Saccharomyces cerevisiae S288C: one gene and its partners. Changing the gene in region 1 together with any one later gene gives a genetic interaction. Each region holds a gene or a part of one and is shown in the gene's direction. Other genes may lie near its edges.

Region 1 (3,569 bases):
AGTCCAATATAGTGATCAGAATGAAAATGAGAAAGAAAGTACTGAGAGATAGTCTCGCTGGCCTTATAATTGAAACCATCCACAACTATTTCGTGGCCATTATTGAACTTAATTATCTTGAAACTTGGTAAAACAAGTTTTACTCTTGTTGGTTTTTTTGACGTAGCTATATCCCTCTTCGTTTTTGCAGGAGATGATGGATTAGAAATAAAGCTCCTGATATTCTTTTTAGGTGTTCCCATATTGCTCGGGTCACTGCCTATGCAAGTATCACAGTGTGTCTCTCTTTCGTACAATTCTAAATGAGAAAGGTTTTCTAGACAAATAGGACATTGAATAACTTCTGTAGAGACTTTAACATTTACTTGCTCCTCCAATTCCGTTACTATTCGATCTTCGGTCCTATTTTCTATTGCGCTGACTTCGTTATCATGCAAGCTAACTAGTTCTTCCTCGTCTGTGTCTATGGTGATTTCGACCTTTGCAGTGTCTTCAAGGCAAATGCTATTGTGATCGTCATCGTTAATAATTACTGGCTCTGTATTCTTATTGGATGTTGAACAACTGAACCTTGAGAATGAATATGAACTGGAACGGACAGGTAAGTTCGATGAAGTTGGGATGTTGAATTCTGTCAAAGTTCTCTGCCTTTTAGAGGATGTATGTGTGTTCTTATGAAGAGTTTTCCCCTCACTTGTACTGCTAGCGGTGCTACTTCGTTTCCGCTTTACTTCAGATCTTCTTATTTGCACTATAGATTTCCTTGACATAATCAACCGACCACCCAAATTAGTCACTAGTGCGTATGCTGCTTAACATGAGTTTTGACGCAGGTATTTGATTATGTTTATATTGCTATTTTACTAGTACTTTTTCAGTCCGTTTCCATGACAAAATCTAAAAAGCCATCGCACTAATTTATAAAGATAATAAGAGGGAAGCTTAAGGTGTAGAAGAATACATGGGACTACTAAGTATTATCAGGAAACAGAAGCTCAGGGACAAAGAAATTCGCTGTCTGATTCTAGGACTAGACAATTCGGGGAAGTCAACGATAGTAAACAAACTATTGCCCAAGGATGAGCAAAATAACGATGGTATAATGCCTACTGTGGGTTTTCAAATACATAGTCTGATGATAAAAGATGTGACAATATCTCTATGGGACATTGGGGGGCAACGCACATTAAGGCCATTTTGGGATAACTATTTTGATAAGACACAAGCGATGATATGGTGTATAGATGTGAGCCTTTCAATGCGGTTTGACGAAACCTTGCAAGAACTAAAAGAATTAATCAATAGAGACGAAAATCGAATAGGATACGAGTGTGCTGTTATCGTTGTGTTGAACAAGATTGATTTAGTGGAGGACAAGTCCGAGCTTCATCGAAGGTGTTTACTGGTAGAGAGCGAGTTGAAGTGTCTGTTCAAGCCGGACATCCGAATAGAGCTCGTCAAATGTAGTGGCGTTACCGGAGAAGGTATTGATAACCTGCGTGACCGTCTGGTGGAATCCTGCCATTTTACCCAATAATCGTCTAAGATGTGAGCACCATATAAAAACTTTAAATAATGTCAGTATTTATAGCGTGATAGTTCATTACCCGCCGACTGTGCGCATTCGTGGCTTCTGCTCACTCCGGATAATAATACTACCAAGGGGTTCTGTAAGGCTTGCGGGTTACAAAGCACGGGTCCATTGAAGATCTTACACAAGAAGGAGTGGTAGGAAGACCAGCAGATTATTTCCAATCGGTCGTTGCCATTGTCTTATTTCCTTTTCTTTCTGGCGCATTGCATTTTAACACCTTTTTTTCCAGAATAGCCAACCACCGACGTCTGATTCACACATTACTGGGCAAGATCTTGACATAGCATTACATTACAACACGGCAACACTAATCACGCAACGCTAGAACTCGCGCAGGATGAATATTCAAAGCAATAATTCTCCGAATCTCAGTAATAACATAGTGTCAAAACAGGTTTACTACGCCCATCCTCCACCTACGATAGACCCGAATGATCCGGTGCAGATATCTTTCCCTACCACCGAAGTAGTTGGGCATGGTTCGTTTGGTGTGGTATTTGCCACTGTTATTCAAGAAACTAATGAAAAAGTTGCTATTAAGAAAGTCCTGCAAGATAAACGATTCAAGAACAGAGAGCTGGAAATAATGAAAATGCTGAGTCACATAAATATAATAGATCTGAAGTACTTTTTCTATGAAAGGGACTCCCAAGATGAGATTTATTTAAATTTGATACTAGAATACATGCCACAATCTTTGTACCAGAGGTTACGTCATTTCGTCCATCAACGTACGCCGATGTCAAGATTGGAAATAAAGTACTACATGTTTCAATTGTTCAAGTCATTGAATTACCTCCATCATTTCGCGAACGTCTGTCATAGAGACATTAAGCCTCAAAATTTATTAGTAGATCCTGAGACCTGGTCCTTAAAACTGTGCGATTTCGGCAGTGCAAAGCAATTGAAACCTACTGAACCTAACGTTTCCTATATTTGTTCACGGTACTATAGAGCACCAGAGCTAATCTTCGGCGCAACAAATTATACCAACCAAATCGACATATGGTCCTCTGGCTGCGTAATGGCGGAACTGCTATTGGGCCAACCAATGTTCCCTGGAGAAAGTGGTATTGATCAACTAGTGGAAATCATTAAAATCTTAGGTACTCCATCAAAGCAAGAAATTTGCTCTATGAATCCCAATTATATGGAGCATAAGTTCCCGCAAATTAAACCAATACCATTGTCACGTGTTTTCAAGAAAGAAGATGATCAAACTGTGGAATTTCTAGCTGACGTTTTGAAATATGATCCACTAGAAAGATTTAATGCTCTACAATGCCTGTGTAGTCCATATTTTGATGAACTAAAACTTGATGACGGTAAAATAAATCAAATAACAACTGATTTAAAATTGCTAGAGTTCGATGAAAATGTCGAATTGGGCCATCTATCTCCCGATGAACTATCATCTGTAAAAAAAAAGCTATATCCGAAGTCTAAGTAATGATAGCACCGGAGGGAGCCCAGGCAAGAATAATGGGAGAAGGAAGGAACATATATACGTATGTCTTTTTTTAGTACTATTATTACTGTTATTATTATGAGTATTGTTTTTGTATTACCATCATATTCTTATCATTATTAGTAGTAACAGTATTATGTTATCATTACTGTTATAATGAATACAAATTATGAAAAAAATAAGGTAAAGCCAAAATAAATTGTAACTTTTTTATGCCATTTCACTTCGAATTATGTATAAAAGCCGTATTCTTTGCCAGTACGAAACTATTTTAATGACACCTTTACTTTAACCGGGTAACAACTTCCTTAAATGGGTCGACAAGGTTTTTAGAGTATAAAGGGGCAAGTGAAGGTTCATCATCGAGCTGATGTAGTGGGTGTTTTAGTAAACGAAGAAGCACCTTAGAACCAAATAATCTAGCTAGTATAAACCGAACCCAGAGTAGCAAACAAACCATGGGTAATGTTCCAGGGAAAATAGACCAGGAAGATAGTTTTAATGATG
Region 2 (3,953 bases), on another chromosome or scaffold:
GGAACCTGGTTACTGGTAAAAAGAAGTCCTCTTTAAAATTCCTAATTGGACAAGGAATGAGACGAAGCCAGGGACGTATAAAGGCAAACGAATTCGAGAAAAAATTCAAAGAGATCTTAAATATTCAATGGTAAAATATAAACGCCGCGTGTAAATAGGAACCGTGCATAAATAATAACAATAATAGTAATACTAATGATAATAATATACATAAAAATATACGTAAACATCTCAACTCCAAACGCTCATGTCAGTATTCCAAATGCCAAAGGGTCTTGATGATGCTGGTTGAGAGGATGAAGATACGTTCATGTGGTTAGACCCCCATCCTAAAGAAGAATCATTCATCAAGAGTGATGCGGACGAAGACATGTTCACTGGTGCCGTCGAAAAATCCTCCCTTTGCGATGGGGATGGTGAATGTTGCGGTGGGTTTATGTTGGTGCCAATAGAGCTAGATGTGGTGGAGGACATGAGCAGGGTTTGGCTTGCTGGTAGGAAAGATACAGTTGGTGGAGAATGTAGATCCGAGATAAGCGAACTGGACGTGGGGCCCACGGGTAAATCATTGATTAAATCGGCGGATGTCGATGTTGCAGTGGTTGGGTTGGTGTGCATAGAGTTGTTTGATGATGACGACGATAAATTTGTGGAAGCTGCCGAAGTTGACGGCAAAATGTATTCGAAGGTGCTTTGGTTGTATGGAGAGGATGAGTTAGAAGTGGAAGAAGTCAACGAGGGAGAGGAGTTCGAGTTGAAGTACCTCGTGGAGAACTGCGTCTGGTTGTAAAGATTGTTGTTGTTGTTGCTGTTGTTGTTGTTGTTGTTGTTGTTGTTGCTGTTGTTGTTGTTGTTGTGAGCATTGACGTTGCTATTGTAGTACAGTTGAGGGTACGTTTGCTTCAGATGTGCAGTAACCATTGGATTGGACGTATACTGGGGATATTGCTTGTATTTTTGCTGGTTCAAATTATTGTTAGCGCTAAATCTGTGGTGTTTCTTTTGGGTATTCATATATGGTACGTCATTAGCTCTGTTCTGGTTGTAAGCCCCGTACGGGGCCGATGGAATAGATCTGTTAATGGATTGTAGACCAGCTTGGTTATGTGGGTTTACACTGCTGTTATTGTTGTTGTTGTAATAGTAATAGCTACCAGTGTTGTTGTATTTCATGTGATTGTAATGGGGGTGGTAGTTCGACTGGTGGGAGGGCGCATTGTGAGACTGGAAGGAATTACTGGACTGATGAAGGAGCTTCAAACTGCGGTACTCCAACAAGTATTTATCCATGTCCTCGTTCTGCGACAAAAACGGAATGCTGATTATCTGGCCTGGCATATATACGATGTCTTAGTGAAATAGAGCCAAAAAAAAAAAAGAAAATTATTACAAAAAACCGAAACCCAAATGATAAATAATAATAGTAACAAATAATAATAATGGAAATCAAAAAAGTCGTATCAAATATTAAGCGAAGGATGGAAGGTACCTCTTGTTCTAGGTGCCACGATGCAGAAAAAAAGATCAGGAAAAACGAATGGGAAAAAGAGAAAAAGCTGGAAACGGGATTCTCTTTTTTCTATGCTGCTTTTGCTTTGCACTATTGGATAGTGTCTGTAGTATCTAAACTGATTGCCTATCTCTTCTGTGCTGGCATCTTATTCGATGTATATAGTTCTTAATATCTAGTGAAAAATTTTTGACAAATTTCTCGAGACCTGAATCTTCGACACGCAAGAAAAAATTGAAAAATTAACGTGGACCCTGGGAAGCGATGAGCTAGAGAAGGTAAATACAGGGTCGTACGACGCAGAAGCATCCCAAAATTGTTGCAACAAGTATGGAATGTCACATTAGAGATTTCCCAATCTTACATGACTCTTTATTGCTGTTTTGTAGATAGCCTTCCATGTAAAATGCATTTGCCGTCACATTCTGTGTGCGGTTGCTGGGTGCTGTAAACAAGCTAAAGAAATTTCGCTATCGAACTTAAAGAACAACGCAGTACACTAGTTGGGAGTGAAAACAGTATCATAGAGTGTGTATGGGAGAGAGAAAGAGTTAGATACTAGTAGTATGGAAGGTGAACAGTCTCCGCAAGGTGAAAAGTCTCTGCAAAGGAAGCAATTTGTCAGACCTCCGCTGGATCTGTGGCAGGATCTCAAGGACGGTGTGCGCTACGTGATCTTCGATTGTAGGGCCAATCTTATCGTTATGCCCCTTTTGATTTTGTTCGAAAGCATGCTGTGCAAGATTATCATTAAGAAGGTAGCTTACACAGAGATCGATTACAAGGCGTACATGGAGCAGATCGAGATGATTCAGCTCGATGGCATGCTGGACTACTCTCAGGTGAGTGGTGGAACGGGCCCGCTGGTGTATCCAGCAGGCCACGTCTTGATCTACAAGATGATGTACTGGCTAACAGAGGGAATGGACCACGTTGAGCGCGGGCAAGTGTTTTTCAGATACTTGTATCTCCTTACACTGGCGTTACAAATGGCGTGTTACTACCTTTTACATCTACCACCGTGGTGTGTGGTCTTGGCGTGCCTCTCTAAAAGATTGCACTCTATTTACGTGCTACGGTTATTCAATGATTGCTTCACTACTTTGTTTATGGTCGTCACGGTTTTGGGGGCTATCGTGGCCAGCAGGTGCCATCAGCGCCCCAAATTAAAGAAGTCCCTTGCGCTGGTGATCTCCGCAACATACAGTATGGCTGTGAGCATTAAGATGAATGCGCTGTTGTATTTCCCTGCAATGATGATTTCTCTATTCATCCTTAATGACGCGAACGTAATCCTTACTTTGTTGGATCTCGTTGCGATGATTGCATGGCAAGTCGCAGTTGCAGTGCCCTTCCTGCGCAGCTTTCCGCAACAGTACCTGCATTGCGCTTTTAATTTCGGCAGGAAGTTTATGTACCAATGGAGTATCAATTGGCAAATGATGGATGAAGAGGCTTTCAATGATAAGAGGTTCCACTTGGCCCTTTTAATCAGCCACCTGATAGCGCTCACCACACTGTTCGTCACAAGATACCCTCGCATCCTGCCCGATTTATGGTCTTCCCTGTGCCATCCGCTGAGGAAAAATGCAGTGCTCAATGCCAATCCCGCCAAGACTATTCCATTCGTTCTAATCGCATCCAACTTCATCGGCGTCCTATTTTCAAGGTCCCTCCACTACCAGTTTCTATCCTGGTATCACTGGACTTTGCCTATACTGATCTTTTGGTCGGGAATGCCCTTCTTCGTTGGTCCCATTTGGTACGTCTTGCACGAGTGGTGCTGGAATTCCTATCCACCAAACTCACAAGCAAGCACGCTATTGTTGGCATTGAATACTGTTCTGTTGCTTCTATTGGCCTTGACGCAGCTATCTGGTTCGGTCGCCCTCGCCAAAAGCCATCTTCGTACCACCAGCTCTATGGAAAAAAAGCTCAACTGAAACAGATGTATAAATATCATATAATCGTATTGTTTTAAATCATTTCTTTATACCATCTATATAGTACTACTAGTATTTAATGGTGCCGTTATTACCCGCGCTTGATTTTCCTTTTTTTTTTTGATCAAAAGGATGGAACAGGCTGAAAGTAAACCAAAAGGATCAAAGTGCAAGCAAAGGTGCCACAGAAAAGTTTATCAAAAAACCATACCTAGCTGTGAGAGTTTTAGACTCTGTTTTGGTGACTGCATATCTATTCATAAATCGACACGAACTTTTCGTGCAGGATACATAATAAAAATAGCATGGCGGTAAATCCTGAGTTAGCACCGTTCACCCTCTCGAGAGGAATCCCCAGCTTTGATGATCAAGCTTTGAGCACCATCATACAGCTTCAGGACTGCATTCAGCAGGCTATTCAGCAGTTGAACTACAGTACCGCAGAGTTTTTGGCCGAACTGCTCTATGCTGAATGCTCCATTCTCGATAAATCAAGTGTT
Region 3 (3,114 bases), on another chromosome or scaffold:
TCTTCCATTCAATTTGTTCATGAGGAGAACAAGAAAAGATACTACGATTATGACCACGGTTCCCTCGGAGAACCAATCCGTGGTGTCAACATTGGTGGTTGGTTACTTCTTGAACCATACATTACTCCATCTTTGTTCGAGGCTTTCCGTACAAATGATGACAACGACGAAGGAATTCCTGTCGACGAATATCACTTCTGTCAATATTTAGGTAAGGATTTGGCTAAAAGCCGTTTACAGAGCCATTGGTCTACTTTCTACCAAGAACAAGATTTCGCTAATATTGCTTCCCAAGGTTTCAACCTTGTCAGAATTCCTATCGGTTACTGGGCTTTCCAAACTTTGGACGATGATCCTTATGTTAGCGGCCTACAGGAATCTTACCTAGACCAAGCCATCGGTTGGGCTAGAAACAACAGCTTGAAAGTTTGGGTTGATTTGCATGGTGCCGCTGGTTCGCAGAACGGGTTTGATAACTCTGGTTTGAGAGATTCATACAAGTTTTTGGAAGACAGCAATTTGGCCGTTACTACAAATGTCTTGAACTACATATTGAAAAAATACTCTGCGGAGGAATACTTGGACACTGTTATTGGTATCGAATTGATTAATGAGCCATTGGGTCCTGTTCTAGACATGGATAAAATGAAGAATGACTACTTGGCACCTGCTTACGAATACTTGAGAAACAACATCAAGAGTGACCAAGTTATCATCATCCATGACGCTTTCCAACCATACAATTATTGGGATGACTTCATGACTGAAAACGATGGCTACTGGGGTGTCACTATCGACCATCATCACTACCAAGTCTTTGCTTCTGATCAATTGGAAAGATCCATTGATGAACATATTAAAGTAGCTTGTGAATGGGGTACCGGAGTTTTGAATGAATCCCACTGGACTGTTTGTGGTGAGTTTGCTGCCGCTTTGACTGATTGTACAAAATGGTTGAATAGTGTTGGCTTCGGCGCTAGATACGACGGTTCTTGGGTCAATGGTGACCAAACATCTTCTTACATTGGCTCTTGTGCTAACAACGATGATATAGCTTACTGGTCTGACGAAAGAAAGGAAAACACAAGACGTTATGTGGAGGCACAACTAGATGCCTTTGAAATGAGAGGGGGTTGGATTATCTGGTGTTACAAGACAGAATCTAGTTTGGAATGGGATGCTCAAAGATTGATGTTCAATGGTTTATTCCCTCAACCATTGACTGACAGAAAGTATCCAAACCAATGTGGCACAATTTCTAACTAAGTCGCCCTCAGTCCGCTCATTTTAGCTGAATTTTCTAATGTTATTTTTCATCAGCAAAACTTAACAGAACGTTAATTTATCTACCCCTTTTAGTTCATTATCTCTTTTTTATCCAACATTTTACAGAGATCTCTCACTTAAGTCTAAGTAAAGACATTATTTTATATGGTACACTTATAGAATATACGATAATAATAATAAAAACTATGTAACATAACCTTCAGAATTTAATATTAGTTTCCTTTTTACCTCATTGCACTAATAAAAAAATTCTACAGAATCTCCGAAAAAGAAAATCCAGCTTACTCTTTTTGTTTTCTTCTTCACACGTGAGCTTTTCCGCCGGCATACGTTCCGTTCCGTGTCGTCTTGCATAAAATTTCCGAATCACATGTTCGTAAAACAACCGGAAGTGCCCCGAATATAAAGTCAATTCTCACCGCTGTTGTAACTGGAGCTTTAAGGTGTTATCTAAGGAAGGATAAAAGAACTTAAACAACAACAAACAAAAAATTAAGTTACAATGCCAGCATTATTAAAAAGATTATTGTTTCAAGTGGGTCCTCATCCAAACGAAAGAACATTCACCTTATCCTCTGTTTCAACTGATGGGCACTATATTTCCTTGAGACCATTTGTTAAGCCAAGCGGTGATGAGTTATCTTTTCCTTTCGAATGGGCCTTTGCCGGTACAAACGAAACAGTTAAAGCTAATGATCAAGGAAACGGTGTCGTTACTCAAGATTTCAATTTCTGGTTGGATACAAATGTGTACTTGAACGTTCCAAACACCCATCGTGGCGAAGTGAACACCACTTGGAAAAATTGGGATTCTGGTTGTGTCGAGGAAACAGGCGCTGTTTACCCATTCGGTGCCGACAAAGAAAGCGTCTCTTTCAGAGAATTGTGGCAACCAGTTGACCCATCAAGAGAAGATCTAGTCATCGTCTCACCAAACAATGAGAAGTTCTCGTCGAATGCTAGGTCAATTGTCCTCAAAGTTACTGACGAAGCTTATGATGGTTTGGTTATTGTTATTGGTAGATGGATTCAAGGGTTTTTGTCCCAAAAGAATAATAACACTATTGAAGGCTTGAACTTCATCAGATTACTTGAAAAAGATTCAGGTAAATCTGAGTTCTTATTAAGCTACGGTAAGGAAGTAAACAAAATTCCACAAAGCTACGAAAATTTGAAGAAAGGTTCCACTGTAACCAGCAATGGGTTGAACTGGGAAGTTATTGAATATCACGCTTAATAAAGGAGAATAAATCGTTTTCTACTTTCTTCTGCTGCTATAATAAGCACCTATGGGATCTATATAGTATTTTTATAACGATAGACTTTATAAAAGAAAATACCTAAGTGAAAATTTGGTGAATTTTGAGATAATTGTTGGGATTCCATTTTTAATAAGGCAATAATATTAGGTATGTAGAATATACTAGAAGTTCTCCTCGAGGATTTAGGAATCCATAAAAGGGAATCTGCAATTCTACACAATTCTATAAATATTATTATCATCGTTTTATATGTTAATATTCATTGATCCTATTACATTATCAATCCTTGCGTTTCAGCTTCCACTAATTTAGATGACTATTTCTCATCATTTGCGTCATCTTCTAACACCGTATATGATAATATACTAGTAACGTAAATACTAGTTAGTAGATGATAGTTGATTTTTATTCCAACACTAAGAAATAATTTCGCCATTTCTTGAATGTATTTAAAGATATTTAATGCTATAATAGACATTTAAATCCAATTCTTCCAACATACAATGGGAGTTTGGCCGAGTGGTTTAAGGCGTCAGATTTAGGTGGATTTAACCTCTAAAATCTC
Region 4 (4,318 bases), on another chromosome or scaffold:
AGGAAAATGCTAAGAAAACAGAAAATAAAAAGACAAGAAAAAGATTCGTCATCACCTATCATCAGCCAACGTGACAACCACGATGCCTATGAACACCATAACCAAGATTCCGATGGCGTCTCATTGGTCAATAGTGACAATTCCCTCTCTAACATTCCATTATTCTCTTCTACTTTTCATCGTAAGTCAGAGTCTTCCTTAGCTTCGACATCCGTTGCACCTTCTTCTTCCTCCGAATTTGAGGTAGAAAACGAAATCTTGGAGGAAAAAAATGGATTAGCAAGTAAAATCGCACAGGCCGTCTTAAACAAGAGAATTGGTGAAAATACTGCCAGGGAAGAGGAAGAGGAAGAAGAAGAGGAAGAAGAAGAAGAGGAAGAAGAAGAAGAAGGGAAAGAAGGAGATGCGTAGATGCCATTTACTGACGGTGAAGATACTAGAAACTAAATCTTTCGCCGTTCTATTTATGTAATAAACCCATTATTGCTCATTGGGAGTTGTAAATATTAATGCTCAATGTTTATGTATATCCCTCGCACAGGGGCTTTTTATTTCTTGAGGGGGGGACTAATTGTATAATTGTATGTTTTATAAAAAAGTATATTGCTCTTTTACGACTTTTGGTCTGGTCCCCTATGCTACTAATAACATTTTATTCTCTTCAAACTTCAACGTTCAACCTGCTTTGCCGAGACGGCGATTAGTATCCTACCCAACTGAACCTTTTCTTTTTGTTTCGCTTTTTGTTATACAATGCAATTTCGTCTCGCTGTAGTCTTTGGGTATGTCCTGTCAAATTCGTCACTACATTTTCAAAAGTTGTCTTATCCTTTAGGAGGTCTCGCTGTTGTTTCTTCAATGATCTTGATTTACTAACCAAAAAGTCAATGGATTGACACAATGTATCGTGGTATTGGCGTAAAGATTCTTCATCCATACTAGTAAAATCTGCCATAAGCAATTGCGGTATATGCTGCTCTTGCTCACGCTCCTCTTCCTTTTGAAGAGATTTTAAAGTCATTGGTGGTGTATAGTCAATTTTGAAATTATCCCTCAGGAAGAGACCAGTAGCCGTTTGCTCATTTTTCTCCACTGCATCGCATATCCTTTTGAACAACTCATCATTCAACGGTTCTTCCTCCCTCTTCGTACCAACACCCTCAGAGCCATTATTATCCGATAATCTCAAAATGTGGAGCAAGTTTCTGCGTATATGAGATTTATTCCATATGAATGGCTGTAACACAGGATCTAATTGTACGAGTTGTTCATAAATGACATGGGGTCGTTCATCTTCAATAAGTTTGCTCAGCTTGAAACAGTCATTCTTTATGGTTTCTTCTTCCAGGTCAAATTCTCCCTTTGGTAGTATCTTATTCAAGCAGTTATCTACTACAGATTCGGAAGACGTCGTTAAAGTAGAATTCTGGTTATAGAGGTCATTTTCAACTGAGGCATCTGAAAAATTCCCAAAATCATCACTAGAATCACTTTCTGCATCTAATGCATTTGTGACAGGTTCTATCTGATCTCTATCGCTCATTTGCTTGCTTTGAAAGAGGTGCCTTTTTCTATCTTGCTACACCTTAAATTCTCGTTTGTGATACGCCTAACGTTTTTTTTTTTTTTCAGTTTTGATAGCAATTCGCGAAACTTTTTGTAACATCTTCTCTTCTCGAAAAGCGAAAATAGTAAACAATAACTTAAAGCGTATTGGTATTAATATATTTAGTTGTAGTAAAATCATTTCACCAAACACACATACATGCGCTATTTGTATTGAGAAAATGAATTTTGATGCGGTAGCAGATCAACAGATGACTGACAGAAGGTATTTTGCTCTCGAAGTAGCAGAAAGCGATGATGCCGACAGCTCATTAAATTCTTCATCCATGGGAAGCCCCGCAGTGGATGTAGGAAGAAAAGTTTACAAAATCACTTCGCACAAGGGTTCAGCAGAAGATGAGAGTCAATCCTTTTTTACTTCTTCAGATTCTCCAACATCCAAAACAAGGCCTGTAGGTAAAACCATCGAAAACGATGATTACTATGGTAAAAGATCTTCTACAGGTTCATCGCTCAAACAACTCTTCAATAAAATTAATATTAATGATACCGCTCACTCTTCAAACAAAGAAAATGTATCTCAGTCGGTGCTATCGGAAAACAAGCTGCTCTCTCCATCTAAAAGGTTGTCGAAGCAAGGTCTTACAAAGGTGACTAACTCCAAGTTTCGTACACCCTTGAGACCTATTTCAAACCAATCGACTTTATCAAGGGATGAGCCTGTTAAAGATTTTAGATCACTTAAGTTTCGGAGCGGTAGTGATTTCAAATGCTGGGGTGACGAGAAGACAAGTTCTCATGTTCATTCATCCAGTGTGAACTCAGTTAATTCCTTTACTTCTACCACCTCTTCTTCAAAGTGGAAGTTCTGGAAAAATGATAACCTATTGTCGAGGTCGCTATCTTCCAGATCTGTGAATGACCAAGATCCGAACTTTGTTCAGCCAAAACCAACCAATTCGTTACAAAAGAAGTCTTCAATTTCAAGTTTTCACAATTCTATTTTTGGTGGTGGCAAACACACAGAGAAGAAGAGGAATTCTGGATTTATTATGCCCGATCATCAGAGCACGAAGGAGCTAAACCACAAACATTCATCATCGAACCTTTCCTTTAGAAGTTTGAAGCATAAAACATCACATTCTTCACTAAATAAGCTCAAAGTAAGGCGTAAAGGAAATACACAAGAACTGAATCATCCGATCAAAAAAACTTGCCAAATATCATTGCCTGTTCCAGACCAAGTCTCAAAGGACAAGATTCAACTGAAATTGAAAAATTCAACATCATTGGCATCCTTATCTTCAGAAGTCACTCCCATAAACACTTTGGACTACAATGATTCAATTTTGCAACAAATATTACAACTTTGTGATGTTAAGTATATATTACATGATCTACGTGAAGCTCAGTCATTAGGCTTGTTTACGTTGAATACTAGATCGGTTCAGCTGTCTCATAACTTTTGGCAAACTTATCATAGCGATATGCAAACTTCACTCATTTGCAAGAAAGTATGTCTAGGGGCTCTAAGTGATTTGACTACTTCAAACTTGATATCCTTACATGAATTGAAATCATTACGGTTAATACAAGGAACTAGCGGTGTCGCCAATTTACTGCAAGCTTATGTTGTGCCCTCAAATCAATGTGAAAATGACCAAAACTTGATACTGTACTTATTTTTCAAATACCAGGGAACTCCTCTATCAAGGTGCTCTAACATTGATTACTCTCAAGCATTGTCTATTTTCTGGCAGTGCAGCAGTATTTTATATGTTGCTGAATCCAAATTTCAGCTCGAACACAGGAATCTAACTTTGGACCATATTTTGATAGACTCTAAAGGGAATGTTACTTTAATTGATATGAAGTGCTGTCGTTTCTTGAATATAGACAACAATAAGGCTTCCTATACAAGATTAGACCATCATTATTTCTTCCAAGGCCGGGGGACTCTTCAATTCGAGATATATGAACTGATGAGAAGCATGCTGCCTCAGCCAATATCCTGGGCTACATTTGAACCAAGAACAAACCTATTATGGTTATATCACCTAAGTAGCAGCCTGCTAAAAATGGCCAAAAAAGCCGTAGTCAGCGGCGCTTTGAACCGGGAAGAAAATATCTTAATCGAGTTGACGCACTTACTCGATCCTGCTCGAAAACATTCCAAAACAATTTTCAAAAAGGAACTTGTTATAAGAACTTGCGGTGATTTGTTATCTTTGAAGGGAGAAATAATGCAGTAAAGACATCGTAGTAATAAGGTGCAAGCTTTTGTATCCTTCTTAATGATTTGTAAGCAAAAAAAAATTACGTACATCAATTTGTAATGGAAAGGAAATAAATAGTATAATATGAACACTCTTTCTGAGAACAGTTATCTTTAGCTTGCCCCACAAACTGAAAGCACATTTTTAAAATGTTTTACAGATGAAAATGAACCCTTGTACTGTTATCCTCTGTAAGTCGTTATTTTTCTTTTGCCTTTTTCAGGTTGACTGCTACTGTAATCGTAAGAATATTCAAAATCAATCATCTCGCATCGCAACAAAAATAAAACGAAGTTACTGGTTTAGGTGGCAGAAACATATAATATTGGCGAACATTCATAAAATAATTAAGGCTTACCAACGAAGCATAATAAAATTGCCAGTAACCAAAGGTCTCTGATAACATGAAAGTGGTAAAGTTTCCATGGTTGGCTCACCGTGAAGAATCGCGAAAATATGAAATATACACAGTCGAT

Evidence for each region.
Region 2: mutations in RIM11 (region 1) and ALG3 together harm fitness more than expected from each alone (negative genetic interaction), as found in Saccharomyces cerevisiae (3 studies listed by BioGRID).
Region 3: mutations in RIM11 (region 1) and HRI1 together harm fitness more than expected from each alone (negative genetic interaction), as found in Saccharomyces cerevisiae (3 studies listed by BioGRID).
Region 4: mutations in RIM11 (region 1) and ALK2 together harm fitness more than expected from each alone (negative genetic interaction), as found in Saccharomyces cerevisiae (2 studies listed by BioGRID).

What each region holds. Positions count from the first base shown.
Region 1 is NC_001145.3:544,194-547,762, forward strand, and holds RIM11 (serine/threonine protein kinase RIM11), read left to right. Parts: upstream 1-1,931; coding exon 1,932-3,044; downstream 3,045-3,569. Other genes in the region: DNA cross-link repair protein PSO2, read right to left, coding at 1-770; Arf family GTPase CIN4, read left to right, coding at 962-1,537; SIP5 (Sip5p), read left to right, coding at 3,521-3,569. UniProt on the Saccharomyces cerevisiae protein: Serine/threonine protein kinase that is thought to function in regulating kinetochore activity and entry into meiosis. Could phosphorylate IME1.
Region 2 is NC_001134.8:69,251-73,203, reverse strand, and holds ALG3 (dolichyl-P-Man:Man(5)GlcNAc(2)-PP-dolichol alpha-1,3-mannosyltransferase), read left to right. Parts: upstream 1-2,076; coding exon 2,077-3,453; downstream 3,454-3,953. Other genes in the region: glutamyl-tRNA(Gln) amidotransferase subunit PET112, read left to right, coding at 1-134; YBL081W (uncharacterized protein), read right to left, coding at 232-1,338; anaphase promoting complex subunit CDC27, read left to right, coding at 3,759-3,953.
Region 3 is NC_001144.5:729,036-732,149, forward strand, and holds HRI1 (Hri1p), read left to right. Parts: upstream 1-1,789; coding exon 1,790-2,524; downstream 2,525-3,114. Other genes in the region: EXG1 (glucan 1,3-beta-glucosidase), read left to right, coding at 1-1,266. UniProt on the Saccharomyces cerevisiae protein: Unknown. Non essential.
Region 4 is NC_001134.8:205,407-209,724, forward strand, and holds ALK2 (protein kinase ALK2), read left to right. Parts: upstream 1-1,787; coding exon 1,788-3,818; downstream 3,819-4,318. Other genes in the region: bifunctional glycerol-3-phosphate/glycerone-phosphate O-acyltransferase SCT1, read left to right, coding at 1-411; LAA2 (Laa2p), read right to left, coding at 701-1,543; YBL008W-A (uncharacterized protein), read left to right, coding at 4,003-4,242; HIR1 (Hir1p), read left to right, coding at 4,247-4,318. UniProt on the Saccharomyces cerevisiae protein: Serine/threonine haspin-like protein kinase involved in cell cycle regulation.